Bombyx mori: one gene and its partners. Each later gene encodes a partner of the first gene's protein in a complex. Links are inferred from orthologs where the notes say so. Each region holds a gene or a part of one and is shown in the gene's direction. Other genes may lie near its edges. The genes, in order: small nuclear ribonucleoprotein Sm D3, splicing factor 3B subunit 2, protein CWC15 homolog, U4/U6.U5 tri-snRNP-associated protein 1, BUD13 homolog, G-patch domain and KOW motifs-containing protein and splicing factor 3B subunit 5.

Evidence for each region.
Region 2: small nuclear ribonucleoprotein Sm D3 (region 1) and splicing factor 3B subunit 2 share a complex: the UniProt entries of both Homo sapiens proteins name them as parts of the minor spliceosome. The link is inferred for Bombyx mori from reciprocal best matches to the Homo sapiens genes SNRPD3 and SF3B2.
Region 3: small nuclear ribonucleoprotein Sm D3 (region 1) and protein CWC15 homolog share a complex: the UniProt entries of both Homo sapiens proteins name them as parts of the minor spliceosome. The link is inferred for Bombyx mori from reciprocal best matches to the Homo sapiens genes SNRPD3 and CWC15.
Region 4: small nuclear ribonucleoprotein Sm D3 (region 1) and U4/U6.U5 tri-snRNP-associated protein 1 share a complex: the UniProt entries of both Homo sapiens proteins name them as parts of the U4/U6-U5 tri-snRNP complex. The link is inferred for Bombyx mori from reciprocal best matches to the Homo sapiens genes SNRPD3 and SART1.
Region 5: small nuclear ribonucleoprotein Sm D3 (region 1) and BUD13 homolog share a complex: the UniProt entries of both Homo sapiens proteins name them as parts of the minor spliceosome. The link is inferred for Bombyx mori from reciprocal best matches to the Homo sapiens genes SNRPD3 and BUD13.
Region 6: small nuclear ribonucleoprotein Sm D3 (region 1) and G-patch domain and KOW motifs-containing protein share a complex: the UniProt entries of both Homo sapiens proteins name them as parts of the minor spliceosome. The link is inferred for Bombyx mori from reciprocal best matches to the Homo sapiens genes SNRPD3 and GPKOW.
Region 7: small nuclear ribonucleoprotein Sm D3 (region 1) and splicing factor 3B subunit 5 share a complex: the UniProt entries of both Homo sapiens proteins name them as parts of the minor spliceosome. The link is inferred for Bombyx mori from reciprocal best matches to the Homo sapiens genes SNRPD3 and SF3B5.

The regions. Positions count from the first base shown.
Region 1 is NC_085122.1:328,206-333,634, reverse strand, and holds small nuclear ribonucleoprotein Sm D3, read left to right. Parts: upstream 1-2,224; 5' UTR 2,225-2,412; coding exon 2,413-2,722; intron 2,723-3,833; coding exon 3,834-3,916; 3' UTR 3,917-4,842; downstream 4,843-5,429. UniProt on the Homo sapiens protein: Plays a role in pre-mRNA splicing as a core component of the spliceosomal U1, U2, U4 and U5 small nuclear ribonucleoproteins (snRNPs), the building blocks of the spliceosome.
Region 2 is NC_085131.1:3,906,011-3,910,690, forward strand, and holds part of splicing factor 3B subunit 2, read left to right. Parts: intron 1-130; coding exon 131-261; intron 262-803; coding exon 804-955; intron 956-1,748; coding exon 1,749-1,941; intron 1,942-2,236; coding exon 2,237-2,446; intron 2,447-2,747; coding exon 2,748-2,950; intron 2,951-3,699; coding exon 3,700-3,850; intron 3,851-4,680. UniProt on the Homo sapiens protein: Component of the 17S U2 SnRNP complex of the spliceosome, a large ribonucleoprotein complex that removes introns from transcribed pre-mRNAs.
Region 3 is NC_085110.1:8,227,803-8,232,646, reverse strand, and holds the end of protein CWC15 homolog, read left to right. Parts: 5' UTR 1-176; coding exon 177-307; intron 308-563; coding exon 564-843; intron 844-1,059; coding exon 1,060-1,164; intron 1,165-3,184; coding exon 3,185-3,322; 3' UTR 3,323-3,533; downstream 3,534-4,844. Other genes in the region: protein 60A, read left to right, coding at 4,114-4,483. UniProt on the Homo sapiens protein: Involved in pre-mRNA splicing as component of the spliceosome. Component of the PRP19-CDC5L complex that forms an integral part of the spliceosome and is required for activating pre-mRNA splicing.
Region 4 is NC_085118.1:17,268,482-17,272,198, forward strand, and holds part of U4/U6.U5 tri-snRNP-associated protein 1, read left to right. Parts: intron 1-176; coding exon 177-328; intron 329-860; coding exon 861-993; intron 994-1,184; coding exon 1,185-1,290; intron 1,291-1,425; coding exon 1,426-1,557; intron 1,558-1,817; coding exon 1,818-1,931; intron 1,932-2,014; coding exon 2,015-2,215; intron 2,216-2,320; coding exon 2,321-2,440; intron 2,441-2,512; coding exon 2,513-2,600; intron 2,601-2,913; coding exon 2,914-3,044; intron 3,045-3,258; coding exon 3,259-3,399; intron 3,400-3,646; coding exon 3,647-3,717. UniProt on the Homo sapiens protein: Plays a role in mRNA splicing as a component of the U4/U6-U5 tri-snRNP, one of the building blocks of the spliceosome. May also bind to DNA.
Region 5 is NC_085130.1:5,574,619-5,578,046, forward strand, and holds the end of BUD13 homolog, read left to right. Parts: intron 1-547; coding exon 548-732; intron 733-1,222; coding exon 1,223-1,395; 3' UTR 1,396-2,413; downstream 2,414-3,428. UniProt on the Homo sapiens protein: Involved in pre-mRNA splicing as component of the activated spliceosome. As a component of the minor spliceosome, involved in the splicing of U12-type introns in pre-mRNAs.
Region 6 is NC_085127.1:6,320,056-6,324,735, reverse strand, and holds the end of G-patch domain and KOW motifs-containing protein, read left to right. Parts: intron 1-2,181; coding exon 2,182-2,314; intron 2,315-3,419; coding exon of another isoform or gene 3,420-3,490; exon of another isoform or gene 3,491-3,491; intron 3,492-3,582; coding exon 3,583-4,043; 3' UTR 4,044-4,072; downstream 4,073-4,680. UniProt on the Homo sapiens protein: RNA-binding protein involved in pre-mRNA splicing. As a component of the minor spliceosome, involved in the splicing of U12-type introns in pre-mRNAs.
Region 7 is NC_085126.1:5,965,315-5,968,835, reverse strand, and holds splicing factor 3B subunit 5, read left to right. Parts: upstream 1-1,998; 5' UTR 1,999-2,158; intron 2,159-2,263; 5' UTR 2,264-2,269; coding exon 2,270-2,527; 3' UTR 2,528-2,606; downstream 2,607-3,521. Other genes in the region: uncharacterized protein LOC101736097, read right to left, coding at 413-559. UniProt on the Homo sapiens protein: Component of the 17S U2 SnRNP complex of the spliceosome, a large ribonucleoprotein complex that removes introns from transcribed pre-mRNAs.

The DNA.
Region 1 (5,429 bases):
AACGCAACACCCCGCTTTATTGCCAAAACACGATCACATAATAAATATTATTGTTGATTATTTTCATAATACAAACTTGCACACTGGTCCGGACCTTTTGATGTCCATTATTCGTCAACGCTTTTGGATATTGTCCGCTAGAAACGTTATAAGAAAAAGAGTGCATATGTGTAAATCATGTTTTCGTGTATCACCTTCACACCCAACTCCCATGATGGCTGACCTTCCGTCAAGCCGTGTAATGGAGGCCAAAGCTTTCTGTCACACGGGAGTAGATTACGCGGGCCCATTTAAGATAACGCTTGTACGCAAACGTGGTCATCATTCACAAAAGGCTTACATTTGCCTGTTCGTATGCTTAACGACAAAGGCTATACATATTGAGTTAGCCTCGGATTTGTCAACGGACTCATTTCTTGCCGCTTTCAAACGTTTTATATCTCGTCGAGGTCCAGTTTCTTTCATGTATTCAGATAATGGCACTAATTTTGTTGGCGCAAAGGCTCAGTTAAAAACTTCTAGTATAAACTTCTAGTTTCAAATAATTTTATATCCGCATGGAATGATGAATTAACTAAATACCGAATCATTTGGAAGATGATCCCGCCTCGGGCTCCACATTTTGGAGGTTTATGGGAATCAAACATTAAATCCGTTAAAACTCATTTAAATAGAGTAATAGGCGCACAAATTCTCACTTACGAAGAGATGTTAACTGTGTTGAATCAAATAGAATGTCTTATGAATTCCAGACCTTTATGTCTTTTATCCGCAGATCCCAACCCCGAAATTCTCACACCCGCACATTTTTTGATGTCCACTCCTTTGCAGTATTTACCCGCGTCTGAATTGTCCGCAAATCAGATGAGTCTGACTAATCGCAAAGCGTTGTTAGATGGTTTGGTTAATTCCTATTGGAGGAAATGGAGATTAGAGTACCTGCATACGTTGCAAGTCAGACAGAAGTGGTGTACATCAGATAACCCCGTGAAGGTTGGGACAGTAGTTCTTATTCATCAAGATGACATTCCACCGCTCCGCTGGCCACTTGGAGTTATACAAGAGGTGTATCCAGGTGCCGATAACATTATACGCGTTGCTTTGGTAAAAACGAAATCTGGATTTCTTAAACGTCCAGTTGTAAAATTATATCCGCTACCGCTAGAATAAATTAGAGTACCGCATGTCATCAACCGCTTCAACTCTACTCGTAAACATTCATGATGGCTTATTATTAATTAAAATTTGTTTCTTTTCAAATAACTTCCCGCTATTTAAGCTTTATGCTTCCTATCTTAGTATCTTTATATATTTGTTGAAAGTCCTGCGAACTTTCAAGGCGGGCAGGATGGTCACGCGGATTTAGTAATGGGATGCTAATGAATTATTGGGATGGCGCCACCTTTGGAGTTTGTCAGTAACTAATTACCGCGACTACCCAAAGCGTGGTTCTACCCGATCGATCACGCTTTACCGCTAGCTGCCTAGATGGCGGCACTTGTATATTGTGTGGTGCTTGAGCTTACGAAAAGCTACGTGAGCTTCGTCACCCCCTCCCGCCGCCCGCGTGCTTCCATCGCCGACGCCCGCACGACAGTCACTGGCAAGATCTACAGGTGAGTGCAAGTTCTTTTAATTTATTGCCATTTTATTGCTGCTTCGTGTAATCATTCGCCCGCCCGCTCGCTTATGTGTATTTAATTTATATCTTTAGTTTGATTACTAGCTTTTGTTTACCGCTATATAGTTTTACCGCTCCGCTAATTATAAGTGACAAACATTTGTCACATACCGCTTAGGACGGCTATTTACACGCCTTTCTACAACCCCGCTTTATATGCTCCCGCCGCAGGAGGGCTATTTACACGCCCCCTTGCTACCCCAAGCATAAAGCCTAAGCACCTAGCTTTTTTTACAAATGAAACTAGGTCTATTAGGCTATGTACAGTGAAATGTAATTTATTTAGAAAAATGGTTGGAATTAACTAAGATTACATTTAACTTTTTGCAAAATCTCAATAGTTATACCCTGCGATGCTCTTGCATTTTCAAACCGAAAGGTAGTACTACTTTACGGCAGGAATAGGTAGGGTAGTGTTGTCTGCCTCTGTGGACTCGCAGACATCCTACCATTCCTACCACCAGTAAAGTTGATTTTCACAATGCTAAGGGAATTAAAAATCATAATGGATTTTTGGTAATATGGGTTATGTTGTCTTTGTCTGTCAATGAATGAATAAAAATGTCTATTGTCTATGCACGGAACTCGCCGCCATATTACATTAGATGTCTATGGATTTGAAGCGTCTAATTTTTTTGAAATATTCTTTCCCATTTTTATCGTAAATAATCTAAGAAATAATACTGAATTATTGTCCTTTATCGTACGTTTTTCTTAACTAAAACGTAAACATGTCTATCGGTGTGCCTATTAAAGTACTTCACGAGGCGGAAGGTCATGTAGTGACTTGTGAAACAAATACCGGTGAAGTTTATAGAGGGAAATTAATTGAAGCTGAGGATAATATGAATTGCCAAATGACTCTCGTAACAGTCACATACAGAGATGGCCGAGTTGCACAGCTCGAGAATGTGTACATCCGTGGTTCCAAGATCAGATTTTTAATATTACCGGACATGTTGAAGAACGCGCCAATGTTCAAAAGACAAGGGAATAAACCTACTGCAGGACGAGGGAAGAGTGCGATACTGCGAGCCCAAGGTATTGAACAATATAAAAATAGTGTGTATGTGATTTGTTTATCGAGCTAGGTATCCTAAATGTTCTCTCGCATCACATACGTAGTGATTGTGTTCATTATCAACAAGACAACATACGAGTGTTAATATATGAATGAGTGCTGTCTGACTTGCAGTCTAATTACATCTAGCACTGAAATTGTGAATATGCATTGTTCTTAATTTCGTTTAATTCAAAGACTTAAAAAAGAATAAACATCTTTAGCTTAGAACAACCCATTTCTTTAGGCTTGTTATAAATTAGACTTGAGTGAAGTCTATTTAACAATTACTGCACTATATAACCAAATTATTAAACGAAAATTTCTAAGTAGAAAACGTATGCAAGTATGAAAGATAAGCACATTTAATTACAATCAATAAATAGCCTTCATTAAAATTAGTACAAATGCATTGAATACATAGTGATCAATTGGGTCAAATGAGCAAAAAATAGGTAGTTTGAAGCTTTGATTTTTTAAATGTCTTGTTTGTTTATATCCTGTATAGATATTTTTTGTCACAGTTTTTTAATAGTAATTGAGAATATTTTACAATTTTTCATTCTTGAGTGCTTATATAGACATACAATGTCAAATTTGCAATTTTAAGTTTTGTAATATCAAATCAGTATTTTGTTCCAATGTTAATTGTTTCTAATCATTCAACTATATGTTATTGACAATTTTACTTTGGGTGGTTAAAGAAAATATGTGAATGATGAGACCATGTCAAGTACCTAATGCACACAATCTCACACATCTAAAGTAAAACCTATTTTACATAATGTTATGCAAACTAATAACTGTATCTATTACATTTGTGAAAACCCATTCTTGTGTATTTAAATAATTACGGCAAATTTCTGTTGCTAAACAGGAATGTGAATTGATTTGACGGGCTGGACAGTAACTACAATACATTTGAGCGATCAAATATATGTATCTCTTCATACTCATCTCAAGTATCATGCCAACCAGCATCCTTATTTTGATGTTTGTGGGCCACAGTAAATCATTAATCAAGTGGGTTGTAAGCTTACTCACACATCTAGAGGAATCAAGAAGTAAAATACAAATCTTTGAAATTTTCAGCTGCTGGTCGAGGACGAGCAGGTGGAAGAGGTGGGGGCCACCGTGGAGGCTGGCAAGGTGGGTCAGGACCATCTCGACGCTAGCGTTAAGATATTTTTTAGATAGCTTAAGTTGTACTTGTCTTATATTTCAATTGTCAAGGAATTATTTCATTATCATTCTTATATATTGATATATCTAAGTGAGAAAAATACAAATTTTGGAAATAGAACAACTGTTTGTTCAAAGATTATTATTATGTTCTCAAATGTAACAATAAGGTCCTGTTCCAGATTTTCTGTTTTTTTATTTTGGTCACCCTTCAATCTGCTTTACACATCTTAGGTCTCATGGACCATTTGATCAAATAGACACTACACACTGATGCTACCCTATGGTGACTTATTGTGACTCCCAATCAATACAATGTTTAATCTCTATGTTCTATCCTTATATCAGTCCCAATAATCTAGAAATCTTGTCCATATGATGGGTAATAGTTCAATCTTGTTTTGGCTTGAGGAAATATCTATGTGTGGTTTATGCGGGGGTGACTATTGTAATTAAATATAAAAAGTTATTATAAACTGCCTTGTACAAACCAAACTTAACCAATGGCCGAGTTTTGACAATGTTTTATCCATATAATTTTGAATTTTTTTGCACTGTAACTGGAGCCTATAGACTTTATGAAGGCCTGCACCTACCATGAGGTTTGAGATCAAAGTCCCAGTTGTACTGTTTGGGATAAATGCTGTCTTAATGGGCAAATTGGAATGCTTCGCAGCATAAAACCTGCAACAATCATGCATGTTTGTTAAATGTGTGTAACTCGGCATCTTATCCTTTAGGACACGACAACCTCTTATGCAAAATATTTTTAATTTGAATGTTTTATGTTCGAATTTAGATTAGTTACAAACAGTGTAACAAGTTTACTGAGACTGTCAGCAGATATGTGATAGGATGTGTCGTTGTGGGTGTGAATATCAAAAGATTGAAAACAAATAAAAAACAATTTGGATAATAACTAGTGTTTTTATTTATGAGACACGCAGTGTCAACTAACTATAATTATTATTAGTCAAATTCCACTGGCCACTACTGCTTCTGAGATAGTATAATAATAGAAGTCATGACGGCTTCACTGTACAGACGCACAGGACAGTGGTGTCTAACCATACAAGCTCACACTGCACATCAGCACCTCAGCACCAGCTGTTGCAGAGCTGTCCAATTTTAGTTACACATTCCCCTCCGCTTCTATTGAATCTAATACGCAATAGGAACCGTGGTGGTGGGCTGGTGGAATGCAGCTTTAAACAGATGGGTGCTGAATCAGCCACTTTGTTGAAAGATTTGTCTGTTAATCTTTTTTTTTATTTTTTTATTGCCTTTGTAGGCAGACGAGCATACGGCCCACCTGATGGTGAGTGGTTACCGTCGCCCAATACGGCCCACCTGATGGTGAGTGGTTACCGTCGCCCATGGACTTCAGCAATGCCAAGGGCAGAGCCAAGCCGCTGCCTACCGCAAAATCAGTTAATCTTGAGTGATCACAGGGTACAGTAACCAGTAAAGTAAATAATGGTTAAAGTTACATGAAGTTGATGGCCC
Region 2 (4,680 bases), on another chromosome or scaffold:
CGTTGTAGATGTCTATGGGCTCTAGTAACCACTTAACACTAGGTCGGCTGTGAGATCGTGCACCCATCTAAGCAATAAAAAAAATAGCACATTAAACAGTACCTTATAATGATGTTTTGCCCCTATACAGATGTGCAAAAAGACATGGAAGCACCGCCAGCTCCAGTGATCAGTACGGAGTATGACGTGGAAGAGGATGAACAGTCAGACGATGAAAACATTCCTGATCCACCGATGCCACCAGTAATTTCCAAACAAGAGGTACTTTTTATTAAAGTATATATTAGTTATCAGCAAGCAAAATAACCTTAAAAAAAAAATAGGATACATATTTCATTGAGTTAGAAATATTGAAATGCCCTTATTTTTCAGGTGTGAACGATAAACACTAGATATCATATTATTCATATGATATCAAACATATTACTCTCTAAGCTTATGATCTGAATATTGTTGCATACAAGCAAGTTTACTTTGAAAACCGGAAGGATATTTCTTACATTTCCTATTCTTTTATAGATACTGTTTATGTACAGTCTGACTAAAAATATTGTGTAGAAAAAAAACAAAATAAAAGATATACATTTAATCTCTAACTCTCTTAAAATCTTTTGTAAGTATAAGCAAAGACCCAGACTTTATAATCCAAAAACCATAAACTCAATGATCGTAAATACTATTGTGTATATGAAAATTCATCATCGTATTCATAATATTGATTTAAGTATTTTTTTAAAACATGTTACTTGCGTTACAAGATTAAGAAATAAAGATTTTATTTAATTCTCATTTTACTTCCTCAGTCCCAAGCTAGCAAATCCAATAAAAACAAAAGAAAGAAAAAGAAAAAGAAGCTGGCTAAACAGAAACGCAATGAAGAGTCTAAGACAAAGAACAACGCACAAGAAGAAAAGAGATCCAGTGACAAAGAAAATGAAAAAGAAGCAGATATTGAGTGAGTGTAAAAAAGCTTTTATATTTTAAATTGCACTATAAGATTTTATTTTCTGTTACCGTTTACTGAAAACCACTTTTTGTTCACTTGTGTCATTTCAATTATTCTGACCGCGACTTGCTCTCTGCTTAACGTTAAACTTTTTTGGTAAATAATAATAAAATAATTGCGTTAGAATATGGTTTCATTTGACAAGCGCGTATAGAAATCAGTAGCTGAAGTCGTCGTGACCTAAAGGAAAAGATGTCCGGTGACCGCCCGGTGAAGATCGTGTTGAGTGATGCACCGATTTTCGAATCCCAGGCGGCTACCAATTTTTCTAATGAGATACGTACTCAACAAATGTTCACGATTGACTTCCACGGTGAAGGAATAACATCGTGTAATAAAAATCAAACCCACAAAATTATAATTTGCGTAATTACTGGTGGTAGGACCTCTTGTGAGTCCGCGCGGTTAGATACCATTACCCTGTTTATTTCTGCCGTGAAGCAGTAATGCGTTTCGGTTTGAAGGATGGGCAGCCGCTGTAACTATACTTGAGGCCTTAGAAATTATATCTCAAGGTGGGGGGCGCATTTGCGTCGTAGATGTCTATGGGCTTCAGTAACCACTTAACACCAGGTGATCTGTGAGCTCGTCCACACACCTAAGCAATAAATAAATAAAAGCTTGCTTAAGTTATAGTTGGGAATGGTCCAAAAGTATCCTTCAATATCTCAAATTTCGTACCATCCAATTTTGGATAGTTTAACTTACATATTAAATACTTATTTAAAAAATAATTAACCAGATACGTGCAAGAAAACATACAGTTTCATGAAATGGAACCAATGTACCGTCAGTTCCATCGGATACTGGAAGCATTTAAAATTTCGGAGAAAAAGGAAGAGACGATCAAAGATGAGGGTATGGATGCTCCAAAACCAACAAAACATCAGGATAAAGTGCAAGACCAGTTCGCAGCGGATGATGAGGCAGCTGAGGTATGTAAATAACCAAATTCATCTTAAAATTACCAACTTTACATACATAACGATAAATTAAGTCATAAAAACATAAAAACTTTCTAATAAATTTGTTCCACTTTTGGATTTAACAACATTTTACACTACACTGCAATTACTGTACTAACACTACCTTTGACAGCAACTTTGAAATGCCAATACATACATCAGAATTTTAATTGACGATTCAATAAAAATATTAAATTTAATTAAAATTTTCACGAACCTTTCACATAACTGCTAGCAAACTACTGTATTGTATAAATGTTCTCAGAAAAACGCAGCCGACGAAAAGGAGCGCCTATCAAAACGCAAACTAAAAAAATTGTCGCGTTTGTCAGTGGCCGAACTGAAGCAGCTAGTGGCTCGACCCGACGTCGTGGAAATGTACGACGTGACCGCGCGGGATCCCAAACTACTTGTCCAGCTAAAGGCACACAGGAACACTGTCCAAGTACCCAGACATTGGTGTTACAAGAGGAAGGTGAGTAGGATAAAAGAAACGCTATCAAAACTAATTTAACTAAAACTAAATAGACTCCAGAAAACAGGTAGAAAGATTTTCATGTTGCCACAGCTTGAATAGGTAAACAAATTTTCTGATTTGCATTTAATTGTTACAGACACAGAAACAAAGAATTAAATATTAAAATTAGAATATATATTTGTTATTCAGTTTTTTGTATTCGTTAATATGTTTTTATTCATAGTACTAAAAATAGTTCCATCTTAGAGTAATATTGTTAGGGAAAAACAAAAAAAAACAATATGTTCTTATATTGCAGTACTTGCAAGGAAAACGCGGTATAGAAAAACCTCCCTTCGATCTACCGGACTTTATAAAGAAGACAGGAATCATGGAAATGAGAGCATCGCTGCAGGACAAAGAAGAGACTAAAACCCTTAAAGCGAAGATGAGGGAACGTTCTAGACCGAAATTGGGCAAGATCGATATTGACTACCAGAAATTGCATGATGCCTTTTTCAAGTGAGTTAAATTATCTGAGAATAATTTGAATAGTACTTTTGTCTTTGTCAGTTTCAACAATTTGAAAGTGTGAAGTTAGCCATTTATAATTAATTTCTAGCTTAAACTATCACACCTGGTTAGTATTTATATCTGGATAAACACTGACATGGTAAGCCGACTTGCTATCCACACCGGTCTCCCTAGAATTCGGATAATAAAGCTAAATACACTTTAAAACATTAGTGTAGCTTCTCCCTGCATATCTTAAATTTTTTCGTATTGGATCAGAAAAACATTCTGGTCTCATATACACCAGTGTAAGAACTGGTCCGTTTTACCTCAGGACAGGCTCAGAAGTGAAACATGAATTCTACATGAGAAATGGTAAGTTATGAATCTTTTGTTTTTTATAGTCTACTGCAACCATAATTAATACACACTGCTCTAGAGAACACGGGTTGCTCGTTGATATTACTATAATATTTTTAATTTTTTTTTATTGCTTAGATGGGTGGACGAGCTCACAGCTCACCTGGTATTAAGTGGTTACCGCAGCCGATAGACATCTACAACGTAAATGCCCCACCCACCTTGAGATATGAGTTCTAAGATCTCAGTATAGTTACAACGGCTGCCCCGCCCTTCAAATCGAAACGCATTACTGCTTCACGGCAGAAATAGGCAGGGCGATGGTACCTACCCGCGCGGACTCAAAATAATATAATATACTCAGATCATATTTGATTCTCATATTGTTGTATTTATAGATGGCAAACAAAACCGCGTATGACAATCCACGGAGATCTGTACTACGAAGGCAAAGAGTTCGAGACTCGTCTGCGCGAGAAGAAGCCCGGAGATCTGTCCGAGGAACTGAGAACTGCTCTCGGTATGCCCGTCGGGCCCGGCTCACAGAAGGTATCGTTAACGTGAACATGTCAATGATGTTGTCGGATTGTTGTGGATTTTTGTTTAAAGGATTTTATGACGTGGGTGGGTACTAAGACCTTTAGGTTATGTCTTATTTTAATTTATATTCTTATTTTTATGAAAAATGATAATATAGAGTGAAATGAAATAAAGATGATTGATTTGAGACGTAAAAAAAACTGGGATGAAATAAAATTAAATGAGGTGAAATATAATCTCTCTTTTGAAGTCGTCGTGGCCTAACGGATAAGACGTTCGGTGCATTCGTGTTGAGCGATGAACCGATGTTCGAATCTCAGGCGAGTACCAATTTTTCTAATGAAATACGTACTCAACAAATGTTCACGATTGACTTCCACGGTGAAGGAATAATATCGTGTAATAAAAATGAAACCCGCAACGGCTTTGTTTCATTTTCCTACATTTGTGCACTTTCACATATATTAAACAGTTAATAAACTACTGTTATTACACATTTAAACATGAAGAAACACTAAATAGACAAAATAAAACAAAACACACAACTTCACTCCTCGCGTTCCCGCCAAAAAGTCTCGATTGTTGTGGATAACATCTTATTTCATAATACGCGCGATTGTGGAGACCATTTCAACATATTAGCTGGCTGCAACGTCTAGGCAGTACCAATCGGAACCTATTATCGCTTCGTAGCAGAAATAGACAGGGTGATGGTACACGTCTGTGAAAGGTTAAAATTCTCGGAAAGTTGTTCTATGTTAATTGACACAGTTACTCGAAATATAGTATATAAAACAGATTTTTTTTCATCATCATCATCATCATCATCAACAGCCCAC
Region 3 (4,844 bases), on another chromosome or scaffold:
ACTTGATACCAATTTCTGTAAATAACCACTCTGCAATAAAAGTACTATTGCATGTTTACAAACCTACCTACTGTTATGCTAAATGTCTCTGACATCATCTAGAGTTTTTTGAATGTATACAAGCACAATAGCAAGACATAAAATCACCGTTCATCAAGTCAGCACCAGCGTTCATTATGACTACAGCTGCTAGACCCACTTTTGATCCTGCAAGAGGTGGTCAAGGCCGAGGAGAGAAAGACTTAAGTGCTATTTCTCGACAGTATTCCAGCAGAGATCTTCCTGGTCATACGAAACTTAAATACAGGTTAGTTTAGTTTTATTTCTCGATCTAAATTTGGATTCCTATTCGCGAAGTTGGACTTACGACCCGCGTGGTGGTAAGTGCTTAACGGACCTCATAAAAAGCCATCTTGAGACAAGGTAGAGTACTTGAATTATTGTTTTAGAAAATACGCTACCCTTCAAAACCACAATGTATAACTCGTTCAAAGCATAAATACCACGTTTGTAATGCACCAAAATGTAAAGAAAAAGTCAAATATTAAAATCTATTTTAATAGGGAATCAGGTCAAGGGACATCTGAGGAATTACGCTCTCGTGATTTTCGTAAGGAGTTGGATGATAGAGAAAAAGATGTTAAAACTACGACTACAAAACGTACAAGTGAACCACAAGCAAAAAGAACTAAGGTTGATCAAGTTCCTGCAGCAAGTCTTGATGCTGATGATCCTCTTGAAGGCGATTCCACTGACTCTGATGATTCAGATGATGATACTGCTGCATTGCTAGCAGAATTAAACAGAATTAAGAAGGAAAGGGCCATTGAACAAGCTAAAAAAGTAAGATATATCTTAGATACTAGAGTTAGATACTATACTATAAGACTATTTTTGTACTGATGTACACAAAGTATGTTTAAATTAAATTTTACAATATATATTTTTTTTAATTTGTCTAACTTTAGTGTACTTTAGTGTATTTTGATACCCAAACTAAATAAAATTCAAATAACAAATAAACCTTGTTGCACAAATCAATTTTGTTTTACCTTATAGGAAGCTGAAAAGAAACAAGAAGAGGAAAGAATTAGAATGGAGAACATATTATCGGGTAATCCTTTACTCAACTACTCCGCTGCAGGACAGAAGAATGACATGAAGGTAATTAAAAACATTAAAATGAATTTTGTTTTAACTCCTGATAACTGTTTGGTGATTGAACTGAACTGCAGATGTCATTGATGTTGTATTTATCAATGTTGAAGTAATTGTGCCCTAAAAGATAAAGACTCCCGGTGCATTTGTATAAAGCTATGTGACTGTGCCGGTGCTCTCATCCTGCAGACAGGTACCAATGGTAATGAAATATATACTTAACGTAAATTGACAAATGATTTCCATCATGAACAAATAGTGTTTAATAAAGATCGAACCCACCAAAATTATAATTTGCTTAATGAATGGCAGTAGAATGGGGTAGTAATGTGTTTTCGTTTGGTATAAAATCTGATATTTAGAACTCATGTCTCATAGTGGGTGACAACATTTAAGATGTCGATTTCTATGGGCCATGAACTTAATTCACCCATCAAAGGAATAAAAAAAGTGTAGATGACCTTTAGTTTCTGCAGTGGGTAGGTATTCATTTGTTGTAGTACAAGTTCTTCATTCTGGCTAGTCAGTTTCATGATACTACATTATTAAATTACACATTGACCAGGATTATCTTGATAAATAATTTAAATGCATCTTTTAATTGGCATTTGTTGTTTTGCTGGTGTTTTGTTTTTGTTATTTTGTTATTCCATAGTAACAATACTATCTGTGTTTTACTTTTTTTATGGCATATTTATGTGTTTGTATGTTTATGTATGTGTTGTATGTTTCTGTTCTGGTACACTATGGTACTTTTCAAATCTGTTTCAAGATATTATTTTTCATTCTTCCAAGTATGTCTAGCATTGTCTTTTTGGTGTTAAGTGGTTATAAACTTGGGTCTCACTTAGATTATAATTATTCAGAGCTTTTGTTGTGTATTGGTATTTTAGATATCCTTGCCATATGATAATAATATGATGTGTATTGAAACATGTGCAAATAATATTCAATCAGTATCTGTTTTGATATCTCATTGGTGAAGTATACTGACAACTACCAGATAACCCTTTTATACCAGGTTGGCCATAAGTTTGTTCACCTATCTATGCTATAAAAATAACTATTAAAACGTATTGTTGCTATTGTTTTCGGTTTACTTGTATTTGAATCAATATCATTGATACTCCACAGGGAATACTTTAATAATGCACAAAAAAATTATTTTTCCTTTCATTATGCATATGTAGCGGCAGATATTGAGGATTCAAGACTATTAAATAATTTCATTTAGACTTTGGTTGATTCATTATTTTACATTTTCGGTTCTATAAACACTGGTTGCTGTTTTGACACCACAGGGACTGTGATTTTGTACACCCACTAATAAATACCATACAAAAATGCAAAAGTAATTGAAAGTGATTTTAAGAACATTAACATAATCTGCTCAAGCATTGGATGAATCCGGTATTGGAACGCCCAGAGGCACCACTCAGCACAACTCGTCATTAGGCCTCTACATGATATCATTAGAGAGAGACTGACTGAGTTATGAGAGTCACAACCTTCATCTATGAGGGTCGATTAAGAAGAATTTAAGAAGTCGTCGTGGCCTAAAGGATAACTCATTCGGTGCATTCATGTTGAGCGATGCACCGGTGTTCGAATCCCAGGCGGGTACCAATTTTTCTAATGAAATACGTACTCAATAAATATTCTCGATTGACTTCCACGGTGAAGGAATAACATCGTGTAATAAAAATCAAACCTGCAAATTTTAATTTGCGTAACGACTTGTGGTAGGATCTCTTGTGAGTACGCGCGGGTAGGTACCATCCCCTAGCCTATTTCTGCCGTGAAGCAGTAATGCATTCCGGTTTGAAGGGCGGGGCAGCCGTTGTAACTATACTTGAGACCTGAGAACTTATATCTCAAGGTGGGTGGCGCATTTACGTCGTAGATGTCTATGGGCTGCAATAACAACTTAACACCAGGTGGGCTGTGAGCTCGTACACCCATTTATGCAAATAAAAAAAAAGGACAATCGTAATATTATATCTATATTTTTTTTGGGTTGTTCCAGGTAAAAAGAAGATGGGATGATGACGTTGTTTTCAAAAATTGCGCTCGTTCTGAACCGGAAAAGAAACCTAATACTTTTATAAATGACTCATTAAGATCAGAGTTCCATAAGAAATTTATGGAAAAGTACGTGAAATAGTAAATCATTATTGATATTGTAATTCTAAATTTAAAGTTGTTAAAAGCGATTCTATACCTTATTGTAAGCGGAATAGTGATAACGAAGTGGAAATGCTACTATGGATATTACAAACACGTAAAGAAAAGATTGACGAAAACCAATATAATTTTAGTAAATATTATGAAAAAAATGTCATTTTGTTGTTTTGAATAAATTATATGAAAACAAATAGTATTTTATAAAGTTTATTTTCAAGTTAATGTCACGTTACTGATAAAAAGTAATGTTTGTTTCCTCAACAACAGATAGAGGTCAGTTCATTAGCATAATGTGTCTAATTTACTCATATAACAACGAACATTGCTTTCGGGTTCGAAATTTGAGACTCAACTTCTGAGTTTCAGTGGTAAAAATCTTGGTAGTTGGGGTATCCAAACTAAATTAGGGAAGGTATTAAAGAGATTAATTTACAAAAAATTCAAACTTACTGCCCCGATTTGATAATCAATACGCCACCCGTTAAAGTACATAACTGCATTGTTAATGGTAGTAATAAATAATTATTAAATTAACTTATTAACATTCGGAGTTCGGACTGACCAGACTGACGTGTCCGGCGAAGTTGAATGTTTTTATTATTGCGGCGTTGTGAGTGAGGCGTGAGAGGGGAGGCAGTGGTAAGTGCGGAGCAGGCGGCGGCGGCCTACCTTGAGTGGGCAGGTCCACAGCTAGATCCCGCGGCTGGCCATGACGCGTCTCACATCTCGTTAACTCGCCACTAGCCAGTCGCAGACGCTCTCACAACGAATATGGCTGGTTTTGTGCAGTTGGTGTGTGCGTGTTTTGCATTGTTTACTGTGGTCACCGATGCCATACTTTCCGGACTTTACATTGACAATGGTGTTGATCAGACGATAATTCATCATACGATTACACGACACGAGCGCATGGTAGTAGAACATGAAATTTTAGATCTTTTAGGCTTAGGAGAAAGACCCAGAAGATCTAAATCTCCACCTTTGGATCGTTCGGCTCCAAGTTTCCTGTTGGACGTTTATAAGCAACTGGCTGAGGAGCACGAACAGGCACGCCCTACACGTAGTTCTGACATGGCTCTCAGCGGTGATGAGCAGCAAGCTATTGATGAAAGTGATTTAATTATGACTTTTCAAAGCAAAAGTAAGTTATTTTTTGTTTTCATTGCTATTTTATGTTAATTAAAATTTGTTTTCACCATATTACAATAACGAAAACAATATACGTAGGTATGTGAACATAATACTATGCAATGGTTTATTTACCTTTTTTTTTATTTACTTGCCATGCCGAGCCGCCCTAGCAGTACTTACTTCGAATGGCATAGTTCGTAAAATTATTAGAAACCCACGTTAAGTATCAGCAATAAAACTATATTACTGAATCTTAACAAATTTCCAGATATTATAATCATATTGTTATTTTATCTAGTGCATATATTAATGCCACATAAATGTACTCGTAAAAAAATAATTAAAGATCGTGTATTTCTAAGAACAGTTCC
Region 4 (3,717 bases), on another chromosome or scaffold:
TTGTACTTATTTATGACCTTGCAATGATTAGTAACATCTTCTTTTCTGTATCTATCTAATCATACACAATTTGATGGGTAACATAAGTATTATTATAATTATAATTCCACTGGGTAGGTTTGTTAGCTTATCTATCTTGAAATTACATTACGAACTATTTTTATTACTTTTTATAGGGACAAGAGTGTTGAGTATGAACGTGAGAAAACCAAGTCTCCAGTACAAACACAGAGTGGTGGAGCACAAGAGAGCTTGTCCATTGAAGAGACCAATCGTCTACGAGCTAAACTTGGACTTAAACCACTTGAAGTCAATGAGAAACCTGCTGGTTTGTAATGTAGTTTTATCGCTTTTGTAATGTTTTTTTTTTATTGTGTTAATATATTGTATTTTATTTAATGTACAGACTATATCACGCATAACGAATTTGATGTGTTATCTTTGCCAACAATAAATAAACAAAATAAAATTCAAATTTTTTGCCATTTTATATGTTTTTAGTCATTATTTTACACAAATTGTTCAGGTTAATATTTTCATAAGATAAATTTAATAGGTATATTATAGCAAAATTACCCACTGCTTACAAACTTTTAAATAGATTGATCTGTATCTGTCTATGTAGTGGAATTAATTACAAGTGTCAAGCCCCAACAAATAAATAATTTCACTTAGGAACTTTAAATTCTTTTTTATTGCGTTGATAAATTAACGTATTATATTAAAGTCATTAACAAATCAACATCAAGGTACATATAGCTTTTATTAATATTGTGTTCACAGTTGTCTTCCGACCGCGATCACTAACTAAAACTTGCTGTTTAAGTGTGAGTTCTACTATGGTTTTAATCCATTCACAGATGATGGTAAATTCAAAGATGACCTTGGCGAGTTCTACCATAAGCCGGCTACTAATATCACTGAACAGAAGAAAACAGAAAAACTCAAAGAGAAAATAAAAGAGCGAAAGGAGAAGAGGAATATTGAAGAGAAGTATGAAATACTATATTTTTGTTCCATTGATTGGCTTGAATTTTTTGATATTATTGTAATAAACGATAAAATATTACATTATATTGAGGAATAAGTACTGTTTGAATAAATGATCATCATAATAAGAACCAAATGAAATAAACTGGAAATTAATAAAAAAAAATTGTAATATAATGCATAATTTCATTTAGATTACAGACTACCCTACTCGGTGAAGGGTCTGACGATGATGACGCGTCGGCCTGGGTGAAGCGCTCCAGAGCAATAGAGACGCAGAAGAAAGAAGCTGCAAAAAGGGTGAGCATACAATAAATGCATTTTTTAGCTGCTGAGAACAAAAATCAAAAATCAATAGTTTTATCAGTTTAGATCCATGACCTAAACACCACAGAGACAACATAAGATATTAATGTGAAGCATGTGTGTACGCAGGCGGCCATGCTGGACGAGATGGACGCGGCGTTCGGCGTGTCCGCCCTGCTGCCCCCCCGCGCGCCCCCCGCGCCCGCCCCCTACCGCGCGCCCAGCCTGCGGGGGCTGCGGGTCGCGCACCAGCTCGATGCGGTACTCACACCTTCCCACCCCCCATATATTAATGGGAATACCAGCAGGCTATTTGATTTTGTGGTCATCCAAAAAATTTAATAAAATGCGAAATAATTTAGTTCTGTACTAATCACAGGTTGGTTTAAACTTTGAGCATTTCAATCACGCGTTGATTATTTTCGTTTCACGATTTCTAATCTCGTGGCGACCACACGTGTTAGTTCTAAATACTACATGAAACAAAAAAATCTGTATTAATAGATCTATAATCTGTACAGTTGGAAGATGAACGTGAAACCATTCTAACGTTGGCTGATAAAGAAATATTAGCTGAAGACCCAGAGGATGTGCTCATCAATGTCAATATTGTTGACAACGAGCGATACAAGAAGGTAAGATAACTGTTTTTACTATTTTACTTACATACATCAGTCAGTGAAAGACCATAATAAATGATATAATGGGTTTTGTTCAGAACGTGGAAGAACGCAAGAAGGCGCGCGCCGGCTACCAGGCTTACGACGAGGAGGCCGAGCTGCAGGCCTCCCTCGGCTTCCGACGCTCCGTCCTCTCCAAGTACGACGAGCAGATCCAGCCCGACCAACTCGATAAGGACAAGGGCTTCGTCATAGGGGACGAAGCCTCTCTCGACGCTCACAGGCGCAGAGAGCTCTTGGTGAGGCCCGCGTCACGTCGCATCACGCCGCGTCACGCCACGCAGCGTCACGTCACGCCGCGTCACGTCACGTGGCGGTGCGTTAACGTAACTGTGTATGTGCAGCTCGCGCAAGGCCCCGCCTCTCGCCGCATGGAGTCGCTTGCGCTGCCGCAGCCGCAGCTCGCAGCCGACTACATGGACCAGCACGAGATCCAAGCCAAGTTCAAGAAGACTAAGAGAAAGGTCAGTGGCCCCGCTCGTCGAGCGTCGCGCCGGCGCGGGCGGACCCGTGTGTACGTGTGTGTTTGTGTGCAGGGCAAGATGCGGACCAAGCCCAAGGACGAGCCCATCGACGCGGACACCTACGACGCCGCCGCCGCGCCACTCGACACCGACGACACAGGTCTGACGCGTCCTCCAGTCTTATATATATGTAGTAGTTTAATCTCACGTTTGCATGATCATCATATTATTTCAGCCCCGTTTCGAATAGTTTGTCGCCGCTGTGTCGGCGCGCCCTGCTCGTCCGCATTTAATGAATTATTAAAGTTCTTATAAAAACTCGATACATAACATACATATTTTTTTATAATTTACATAATTCTGATTATTTCAAACTTTACAACAATCCTGTTCCTTATCGACCTAAAAATGTAAGTAAAAGCGGGCTGTGCCCTAAAAACTAGTTATCAATCGACCTGTCGTCCCCTCCGCAGACGTGCGGGCGGGGGCCGCGGCGCTGGTGGTGGACGAGGAGGAGACGGAGCCCGACACCGAGCTGCACGCCGCGCTGGCCAGGGCGCGCCGCCTCAGGCTCAAGGAGGTGCAAGATGCCGCTGTGCCTAAGGTATCTTATATATTTCATAGATTCAAAGGTTCACTGGTAATAATATAATCGCATTTGAATGTCATTAAAAAAAATATTTATTAGATAAACAACTGTCGATAGTAAAATGTTTGCCGTGAAGGGTCACCTGCTACACCCGCCTGACTCTATTTTTTGTTGTACTGAGTGCCTGATGTCGTAAATAGGTTTAGTTCTAAAACTTGGTTCGGTTCAGGTGGAAGAACTCCTGGAGCGCGTGAAGGAGGAGCAGGTGGAGGCGGGGCCGGAGGGCATGCTGTTCGACGCCACCGCAGAGTTCTGCCGGACCCTCGGGGAAGCCCCGGCGTACTTCGCCAAGCAGAACCCGCACTCGCCGGTGAGTGCTGCCCAAGGGACGCTGCGGACAGCCGGCCGGACGATACATGCGTGGCCGTCATAAGCTTCCCCAATTTTTGTAACTGAAACGCATGACAGTTTCCTGTGCTTCCCCGTGCGGGCTCACGAGACGTCTCCAGCTGAATTTACACGATCTCGTTGTATCGTTTTCTCGTATTACATTTATTTGCTTCAATACAAAAATCATGATCACACATCACAACTTCATTCTAATTGGTGACGCACAGGAACACAACCCGGACATGGACGTGGAGGAGGCGGCCTCCGGGGCCTGGAGCAGGGTGGACGTTGACAGCGA
Region 5 (3,428 bases), on another chromosome or scaffold:
AAGCGGTAGGCAGCAGCTTGGCTCTGCCCTTGGCATTGCTGATGCCCATGAGCGATGGTAACCACTCACCATCAGGTGGGATGTATGCTTGTCTGTCTACTTGGGCAATAAAAAAAAAACAAATAGCCGAAGAAGTTTTTTGTTATGATATTTTTTCCAAATTCTAAACATTAAATCGCTCTCTTGTAATATTTCAAAAATGTCTCTTAAACAAATACCCTTTCACCCTTCAATATTATTAATTTTCCCTTCACGATTTAGTAAAATATTTGCTAAAATTTAATATTTGCTATGTGTATGTGCATTACTATAATTCTCATGTTGTATTTGTTATTTTAGCTGTCCTACACACGCTCATCACTTTTAATTATTATTCTCATAATCCTCTCGCAGGTCTGCTGGAAGAGATTTCTTAAAGAAATAAGCAGTGCCTTTGTACATAATTTTCCTATTACTCTGTACTATGTTTTCTTTTTTGTGTGTACATAAATAAATAAATAAATAAAAGGTTTGTTCTCATAATAAAAGCTCTGTATGTAAATTGCAGGTTGAAACAATTGGAAGCTCAAGAGGAACGGCTTCAGGATTTCATGCATGAGGCCTCAAAACCTCTGGCCCGACACCGGGACGATGCAGACTCGGAGAACAGACTCAAGCAGATAGAGAGGGCAGGAGATCCGATGCTCAAATACATACAGGACAGGAAGAGAGAGGAAGGAAATTTACCACCAGGTAATGTACTTTTGTATTAAATAACATAGTTCACTGAACTATTTTTAATATATGTACATAATATATTACAAAAATGACTATTATTTAGATTTGTATGAGTTTTATTTTTTTGAGTAATCGATTCTTAAAATTACAATTCTTAAGTTAAAATTATGCTTAAAACGATCTATATTTAAATATTATACATGTTAATAAATTATTACACTGTACCTATAATTAAATTAGTTAAATAAATAAATGATCAGGAATAAATCACTCATGACAGTGGGGTTCCAAACTAGAATTCCCCGTCCAGTGGGGGGTAAGAGAAGATATATGTATATAGTAGTAGCAGTATAGTAGTTTAGTAGACTATCAAATATAGTCTTGAGATTGCTCCACAAATATGAGAACTTTTTCTCATATTTGTGGAGTTTATTTTGAGTAACTGACAACACCATCATCAGATGAAAAAATATATTTTATTGGTATTTTTTTTTTGTTTTCGCAGAACGCCCAAAATATAAAGGTAATTTCCCTCCGAACCGCTTCAACCTGAGACCCGGCTACCGGTGGGACGGCGTCGACAGATCCAACGGCTACGAGAAGAAGTTCTTCGAACAACAGAGCAAGAGGCAAGCTCAAGAGGAGGAAGCTTATAAGTGGAGTACCGAGGACTTGTAACGGCGAGGTGGTTACTAGCTAGTTAAAAGAAAATATAGTTCAAAGTATATTTCGACGCTTGAAAGGGAAACGTGACTAAGCGACAATGCGTGAACTTTTCAGTAGACTAATTTAAAGTTGAAATACCTGAAAAATATTCTATTTAAAATGATAAAATGAAATAAATGTAAAAATACATTAAATCAATAAAAAAAACATTACACACACTACCATGTGTTTGACACACAACATATACATATATCTCTATACTCTTTGTTTGTTGTCAATTGTCAAACTTTTGTTATTGTTTAAAGTCTGTGATCAAATTGAATCAATAATAGTGTAAAAAAAACTAACAAAATACGCTTTTATAGAAAATCCAGCTAAAAAATAGAAAATAAATTTGAATTAGAAATAGTGTAAGAAAAAATTATTTTATTGTAAAAAAAAAAGCGTTTGGTCCTTTTTAGGATATTATCAAAATAACCCTTCTATTCATATCTATTCATAAAATATTTATAACCACTGATACCAAGCACCCCAAGGTTTTTTTTAAAATCATTTTTTCTTACACTATTTCTAATTCAAATTTATGTTTACTTCATTAAAATAGCTGTAGAAGTTTTTTTGTCATGTCATTCAGAGTTTCTTTCAAATATTAAACTTGTAATGGCTCTCCTGTGAAGTTGCTAAAATATCACTTGAAACTAAATAGCTTTTCACCCGTCAAAATGCTATTTTGTAGTCCTCCGTCCATTTCCGTCACAAATCGTCATGTGTTCAGATTCTAATGTTAGCAGCAGTCATACAATACCAATGAGACTGGACTTCACGTCTCAAGGCAGGTGGTGGCATTCTCATTATGTCCATAAACTCCGGTAATCACTTTACATCAGTTGAGCCTTGAGCTCACCAACAAGATGTTTATATTGTTACAAATTATTTGTTCAATTATGGAATGTTAGTACATACATAATGTATATTTTGTTTTTATTGATGTAAATATTGTATTAATGATATGAATTATATTTTGGACTAAGCCCAGAGTTTTATTTATTTAATATATTTTGTACACACAGCTGTTAGAAGAAACACGACAATAAGGATACAGAGTACATGGGCACTACTTATTTCATGTTGAAATCTCTTCCAGTAGGCCAGTATAGTTACAACGGCTACCCCGCCCTTCAAACCGAAACGCATTACTGCTTCACGGCAGAAATAGGCAGGGCGGTGGTACCTACCCGCGCGGATTCACAAGATTATTTACTCTGCACCTACCTTTGGTTGACTGGTAGAGAATGTCTTGGGCATTAAGTCCGCCAATGTAAAGTTTACATGAAGTTTAATAAATAAATATATACATAGTTCCAAACCGATTATTTCTTTCTTTTTTTTATGGCCAGTGTAGGCAGGCGATACGGCCCACCTGATGGTGAGCGGTTACCGTCGCCCATGGACTTCAGCAATGTCAGGGACAGAGCCAAGTCGCTGCCTACCGTAAATTAATAATTAACACCAGTTTAAGATAAAATAAAACCAAATGCTACTCAAAATGCAATGCAGTTTATTTAAATAAGAAAATGTTATTACTACTAATACCTAAAAGATCAAATGGGTCACTCTATTAATGCATCTTAACATAAGGTTCTACACATTATTAACACTTATGTTTTTTCATGGAAGATTTCAAATTGATATACTCTTACATTTAACATAGATTTGTGGTAGATATTAAATTAAAAGTAACAATTAAATACACATAGATAAATTTTTGATACTTGTCTGTAGATAACGATTCTAATTTTCTAATAAAAATTATAACAAATATGTTAGCGATAAAAGATTATTTTTACTGAGAATTTATATAAAAGTTACTATCAAAGTTAATATATAAATCTGTATTTAGATTTACAAATGTTTTATTGCAGTAAATTGATATTAATATTAAAAAATAAATAAACACAAATATATTACTTTTACGAAGCAAAATATTCACTTTATTATTTTTTTAAAAAGCCAATAGATATAAGATACACACAAATTTATTTAAA
Region 6 (4,680 bases), on another chromosome or scaffold:
AATAACTTTATGAAATGTGTGGAAATTATACCAACAACAACAAACTATTGGACAGATATTGTGGATAGGCAACGCTGTACAAATATCGTCGATAATCTCGTTCTCACTGACTATCTGTAACCTCTGGGTCTCCAGAGTCAAATAGAGGGACTCCAATAATATCAAATAGGCCTCCAAATAAAGGGACTCCACTTTTCTTTGTATTCTGTTATGTATGTACCTAGTCAGGTCATAAATTCTGTCACATGTTTAATGTAAAATAATTGAAAAAAGTTTATTCATTACGTAACCATTCATATACCAAAATGAACTTAACAAAACATAGATTCTTATGACACTAAAGTTTATTCAAAATGACCTCCGTGATTTTGAATACAGGCCTTCAATCTGCGCGGCCAGTCGTCTATCGCAGCACGAACGAGGTTCATGTCAATATCGGCGGCTGCCTTAATCAAGGATGTCTTGCGTGACTCCAAATTGGGATGAGGCTTTGAGCACGCCTTTTCCTCCAAGTGTTGCCATATCTTGTAATCTAACGGATTCAAATCTGGACTGGAGGAGGGCCAGTCTTCGTGCCGGATGAAGTCGATTTCACGCGCCGCCAGCCAGTCTTGTGTGCTCTTCGCTCTATGAGCTGGCGCCGAATCTTGTTGGAATACCCAGTGCCTGTTATTGAACATGGTATGAGAAACAGGTTCCACAAGGTTCGTCAGGACTGTATTTTGATACACAACTGCATTCGTTTTTACACCTTTCTCACAAAAATGTACCTCTGTTAATCCCCATTAAGAAACTCCCAACCATATCAAGAGCGAGGATGGAAAATGACCTCGTTGGACACGCGGAATACGGTTGCTCGCTTCTTCACTACTGTGTGCGTACACCTTATCATTTTGTTTGTTGTAGCTCTCTTCTACGGTAAAAATTTTTTCATCCGAAAAAACAATTTCCCGATATTTTTTTCCCGCGTACCGCTTCAACAAAGCGCGGCATCTCTTCAGTCTCAGGTCCATTAGACGAGCATTCAAACGATGTCCTGTTTTTCTTCGATATGCCCGAAGCCCTAAGTCTTCATTTAACACCCTTTTCACCGTGGTTCTGCTTAACCCCATCTGAAGGGCCAACAGTTTCTACTTACGTTTGGGATTTCTTTGAATTCGCGCCTTCACAGCTTTTATCACTGCTGGAGTCCTAACAGACCGAGGGCGACCACTTCTTGACCTGTCATCGACACTAGAGTCTTCATTGTATCGTTTGATGGTACGATAAACGAATCTTTTGGTTATATTCAAATTTTTCAGTATGTTAAAAATTTGAATTGGCGCGTAACCGCAACGATGCAACGCAATAACTGCAACACGGTCTTCTTTAAGCGTCCACTCCATATTTAAAAATGAGTAAAATTCTAAAAGTATACATTTTTATTTTCATGAACAATTCGAAATTCGAATTCAATAAACTTTTTTGTGGCCAGCATTCTAAAAGAAAAGTTTTTACTGTGTGACAATACTTATGACCTGACTAGTTATAATAAGGAGCACTCCGAGCACACATTTCATCTTTTTACCATTGCACCGCTCGCGACTGGAGCAGATTGTTTCAGAGATCTTTTTGCCATGTACCTTCTGGCTCATATTACTCTGGAATAAAGTCCCCTCCACTGTGTTTCTAATTGCTACGACATGACATTCTTCAAAAAAAGTTTTAAGGAAAGTCATTTGCGGTAGGCAGCTGCTTAGCTATAGTACTGGCGTTGCTGATGTCCTTGAGTGACTGTGACCAATAACTGGCAGGCAAAAAATTGACCTACAAAGGCAAAAAAATGAGTTAAATAAATAAATATAAATATTTACTGACAATCACGCCACGTTAACTGGTGATAAGTTCGTAAAGAACTTGTGTTACAAGTTAACGGAGTTAAGTCCATATAACGGAAATAAATGTAAGATTTTTTATTATACACATACATATATTTAATATACATCCATAACCCTGGAAAATACATTTATATTTACCATACAAATATCTTCCCTTGGCGGGATTCGAACCCGCGACCCCCTTGTGTAGTGACCATGTCACTTACCACTACACCGGACGGCCGTTAGTTTCCTATGCTAACTCCTATAGGATATGTATAAAGATACCTCACCTTTTGTCATACAATTTTCAAAAACATTTCAGGTGCTTAGCCTCGATGAAGACAACGGCAGAGCTATGGTCAATATAGTGATGAAAAATGAAACTGTCAATCTAAGCGAGTTCATGATGCATCCGGTCACAAAGTCCGAATTCGACAAGGAATCCAAAGTTATAAGTACTTAATTTTTTTTCATTTACATCTGTCCTCCTTGTCTCTGATCTCTTGGCAGAATGGTCGTGACCGTTGTGTGTTTAGTGATGGGTTTTATCCGGTGACACTTCTGTCAGTTACCTGTGTCTGGTGCCTTATGTGCAGGAAGCAATTTCTTGTAGCCCTTATCTGGTCAGTCTTAGACAACTATAAACTTTTTATAGGCCACCATATTCCTTTCTAATTTGACTATTTACTACTTGTGAAGAATACTTAACGGTAGGTAGTGGTTTGGCTCTGCCCCTGGCATTGCTGACGTCCATGGGCGACGGTAATTACTCATCATCAGGTGGGTCTAATGCACGCCTGTCTACAAAGGCAATTAAAAAAAATCAGGTCCATCTGTTCACAATATTTTGTGAACAACAAATTGTGTGTTACACAATATTTTGTGTGTTACAAATTATGTAAACAAATTTTGTTTAAAACAGCCGTGAAGCTTATAAACCGTCTGGTTTTAATAAGTTGCAGTGCTTCACAGCGTGAAAGCAGTCATCTTAAGATATAAGACCAAAGTCACCATTGAAGAACGCCTATAACCAAACTGTAAACCAGAATGCGTAAATACTGGTGGTAGGACCTCTTGTGAGTCCGCGCGGGTAGGTAACCACCCCGCCTATTTCTGCCGTGAAGCAGTAATGCGTTTCGGTTTGAAGGGTGTGGCAGCCGTTGTATCTATACTGAGACCATAGAACTCATGTCTCAAGGTGGGTGGCGGCATTTACGTTGTAGATGTCTATGGGGTCTGGTAATCACCTAACATCAGGTGAGCAGTGAGCTCGTCCACCAATCTAAGCAATAAAAAATAAAATACTTTGTAGAAGGAAGGAATTTTATAAATTTTGGGAATTTAGTTTCATTACACAATATAAAAGTGTTGAAGTCTGTTGTGACCACCTGTTAGGCTAGTATTGTCTTGTCATGACACTCAAATCACAATTGTATATATAAATTGTGCTTGGTCTGATTCATCTATATATATTATAAGTTCTACATTTATTTTTCAATTGAGTTACAATAATCGGCTAAATGTCCAAGTATTGTAACCTAATTACGATTTTTTTCACAGGTTCTATTGAAGAACTCTCTCACAATGTGAAGTTTAATTTAAATGTATTTTCTCCGCGGAGGGGCCTGTAAGGTACAATACTTGGACCATTCACATGTAAATTTGTTTTTTTTTTGCAAGAGCAATACACTTAGTAAATATAAAAAAATGTAAATATTTATAGATGCAGACAAGTACGAAAAATACAAGAAAGATGAAAAAGTTCCTCAATCGTCAAAAGAAAAAGATATAGAGAGTTCACCTAAAAGAGAAACGAAGAAAGAAAAGTATGAACATACCGACAGGCGTGAAAGAGAAGATTGGTCAAATGGTAAAAATAGAAAAGAGGATAGACATAGGAGAGACTCGTCAAGCACCGGTGAAGAGAGATCTCAGAAGAAAAAGAAGCACAAAAAAAGATACAGCAGCAACGAATCTTTAAGTTCTCAATCAGAGGATGAGAGGAGGCGGAGGAAGAAAGACAAGAAAAAGCGTGAAAGAAGCGTGGATTCTGAAGATGAATATAAAAAGAATAAAGGTAGCGCTACACCGGACGGCAAACGAGATATCGATAAGAAGAGGAAGGGAAAAAAGAAGAAAAGAGACAGGGATCGTTCACCGAATTATAAAAAACATAGAAAATAAGCTTTAAATGAATTACAATCTTCATCATTTTTATTTTTTTATTTTCCGCTTCTTGTTTTGACCGAAAAAGGCCCTTTAGAATTGAAACTAACCGGTTTAATCTCAGAACCCTTGAATCTCGAGCTGCTTAAAAGTTCAGTCAGGAAAAAAACCGCAAAGTTGTGATTCTGATTCCATTTTTTTTATCTAATATTCTCAACTACGTCTATACATAGGTATAAATCTATCATTAAAATTGTCTGCCTTAATTGCCTTACATTTAGATGTACCTCATTTATTTTCAATACCATATTATTTAATGTCCAGAAATGAGAAGTTTGACCTCTGGACCAGATTTAGAGGAGGGCCCCCACAATAGAGACTTTGGAAAAACATCTTTCAAATTCCGACAAGTAAACACCTTTTCCTTCCTCTGAAATTTAATTTCAGATAATTTCTTGTCTCCGATTATATCTAAGTGTGTTTGTTAAATACTAAGAGAATCTACGTGGTTTCGCAATAAATTATTTATTGGAAAACTGTACTGAAAAAAATTGTTCATTTTATTTGGACAATTATTTGGTGCCAGGGGGCCTCCGCTCCTCTGTTGCCCCAAGGTCTCCAGACCTCTAAATCCAGCCCTGTTTGATCCATTTAA
Region 7 (3,521 bases), on another chromosome or scaffold:
AGTCCGCGCGGGTGGGTACCACCACCCTACCTATTTCTGCCGTGAAGCAGTAATGCGTTTCGGTTTGAAGGGTGGGGCAGCCGTTGTAACTATACCTGAGACCTTAGAACTTATATCTCAAGGTGGGTGGCGCATTTACGTCGTGGATGTCTATGGGCTCCAGTAACCACTTAACACCAGATGGGCTGTGAGCTCGTCCACCCATCTAAGCAATAAAAAAATAAAAAAACTTACTCATTGCATGGATTATTCGGTATATTCGAAACCCACATTTGTAGGTATAATCAATCTACCTATTCCTGCCGTGAACAATCAGTCCCAATTATTATTATTGTCTTATTTAATACCTATCACTCATGGCACTATGCACATAAAAACACAAACACAGGGCAGAAAATCAAGAAATACTTACGATATTGGAGATGTTTTTTTCGTGCATGAATAAATGTGTTGGTCTTTTGAAAACATTTGAATATTTTCGCTCTACAATTTGCTTTGCTTGTTTGCGAATATTTTTTTCACTTTCTTTAAGCTCTGTTTCTTTCGGTAATTTGCTCATAACTTGTCAGAAATAACAATAATTCTGAATAGAGAATATTTAAAGGCGAACAGAATTACGAAATGTATATCTTGATAAAAACAACTCTCTCAGTAATGACTGGCTTCTGGTTATTAAGTTTATCAAAAATATTGAATAAACACGGTAGTGTATTTTCTATGGCAACTGGTTTTAAATTGATCAATTAATCAACATAACAACATACCAAAGAGTTTAGAAATACGACGATATCAACGTACCCTAGAGTGTACTTTGTAAGTACTCTAAGTTGATATGTAACTGTGAGCATAGAAAATACACTTAATTAAAATACCTGTGAGCTTAAGATAAGTGGATGAGGAGAACCGCAGACCGGGCTCAGTGGTGTGGATTGGGAGAGGCTTATGTCCAGCAGTGGACGACTGTGGGCTGTTGATGATGATGATGATGATGATGATGAGCTTAAGATTCCATGATAGATGCAGCTGATCTAGCGTGGTTGTAATTATGTATATCTCACGGGTTTTTTTTTATTGCTTTGGTGGGTGGACGAGCTCACAGCCCACCTGGTGTTAAGTGGTTACTGGAGCCCATAGACATCCACAACGTAAATGCGCCACCCACCTTGAGATATAGTAAGTTCTAAGGTCTCAAGTTTAGTTACAACGGCTGCCCCACCCTTCAAACCGAAACGCATTACTGCTTCACGGCAGAAATAGGCAGGGTGGTGGTCCCCACCCGCGCGGACTCACAAGAGGTCCTGCCACCAGTAATTACGCAAAATATAATTTTGCGGGGTTCATTTTTATTACACGATGTTATTCCTTCACCGTGGAAGTCAATCGTGAACATTTGTTTAGTATGTATTTCATTAGAAAAATTGGTACCCTCCTGAGATTCGAACACCGGTGCATCGCTCAACACGAATGCACTGGACGTCCTATCCGTTAGACCACGACGACTTCTATCCTTCCTTTACCTTTTTTTACTTTTTATTTTATCTTTTATTAACCTCTTTGCTTTAATAACTTTGTTGCGTGAGCTGTAGAAGTGTAGTTAATAGTTAATTTTGTTAACTTACTGTTTTTTTGTTTGTTGAAACGTGCTATTAATGAAAAATTGTAACCGTTTAGTATCTCTAAAAGTCCACAAGTATAGGAAAATGTGACAACACAGCTGTACTCAACTGTTTTGGTCAGCATTATCGGCAAACGAGTATCTGTCCCACTTAATAATAAGTGGCGATCGTCTCTGATGAACGTCAACGTCAGAAGCATAGACTAAGACTAATTCCACTGCCGGGGCTCTTCCCAAGCTTCGTTAAAAGATGAAAGCTTATTTCAAAACCAGATGATATGTAAACAGATCTAAGAACTTACTGTGAAAGATGCAGTGAAAGAAATAATAAAAAAAACTGTGCACAACCTTTGGTGTTTAGATTTCAACGTTAAGTATTGTATCTATGGTTTAGATACGCCGTGTCTGCAGTAATCTGCACTGCAATTTATGTATTGTCTATGAATACTCTTTGTTTTGGGCTGCTACGTGATATCAATATTAGCTGAATTAGAATATAAACTTTAGAGTCTATACGATTTCAACAAGCATCTTGCCTTTAAAGTAAGTGTGTATATTTTATTAGAAACGTTTTATTTATTTTATAACCATTTAATTTTACATTAATGACATTACTAACTCGAACTATAACCTTAAAATAATTTACAGAATAAAATGGGTGAAAGATACAACATTCACAGTCAACTTGAACATCTACAGAGCAAATATATAGGCACAGGCCACGCCGACACTACAAAATATGAATGGCTTATGAACCAACATCGCGACTCTTGCTGCAGTTACATGGGTCATCCGGATTTGTTGAGTTACTTTGCGATCGTAGAAAATGAATCTAAAGCGCGCGTAAAATTCAATTTGATGGAACGAATGCTTCAACCATGCGGCCCACCGCCAGAAAAGCCTGAAGATTAAACGCTTCGATTTTAAAAATAGAATTAAGCTAATTTACTTATTATTTGACTTTGAATCCCTTATCATGACATAAATTCGAGCAGTTTGTTTTCATTTCTATAACCTTTAACAAACACAATTAGTCTATTCAAATAGTACCACCAAAAACTCAACTATTATCAATAAAAACTACAAATTTTAATAACAGGTATAGTTTATAGTTTAGAATTGGTTCAATGGTCAAATGTTTGACAATCTTATTTTTATATACAAACTTGTTTCATATTGTTTTATCTCAAAGAAATCAGTTTTGATTTCCATTTAGCCTTATATATATACAGTCAAAATCTGTTATAACGACATCGAAGGGACTGCTCATATTCAGTCGTAAAAACCGATAGTCGTAACAACCGGTAATGTTTAATGTGTATCGTGCAAGTACAAACAAATCGATAGGGAATTATTGGAAAAATATATTTACAAAATACGTGATTTTTCTTCAATATTAATTTGTTTTCTTTTTCTTTGCGACATTTTCAAAGTTTCACGAATAACTCCACAAAGTTTTGGTGCGTTTTATGTATAGATAAGTAATAAACTAACTGAAGAGATATGAAGAAGCGGTCTTTGACTCTACTGCATGCACGTGTTTTGTTTCTAAGAATTAGAAAAGACCCTACACTAAACTAAATCCTATTGTTTTCTTTCCTGATTTTAATAGCCATTGAAGACAAATGTGGATACCTATTCAAATTGTTTACAATATAGCTTAGCCGGTCGTTCTAACAGATCTAATTCTCCAAAATATTAGTTAAATGTGGTCGTTTTATGAGGTATGTCGTTATTACCAATGTCGTAGAAAGCAATATTTTTAATAAGGCGGTCATATGGCATTCAGCCGGGACCTTTGTTCTAGGTTGTTATAACCGGCATGTTGTTCTAAACGATGTCGCAGTAAACGGTTTTGACTGTAGTTTAAATATAAAGTAATTTAAGAGATTCTTTAAATAACCTG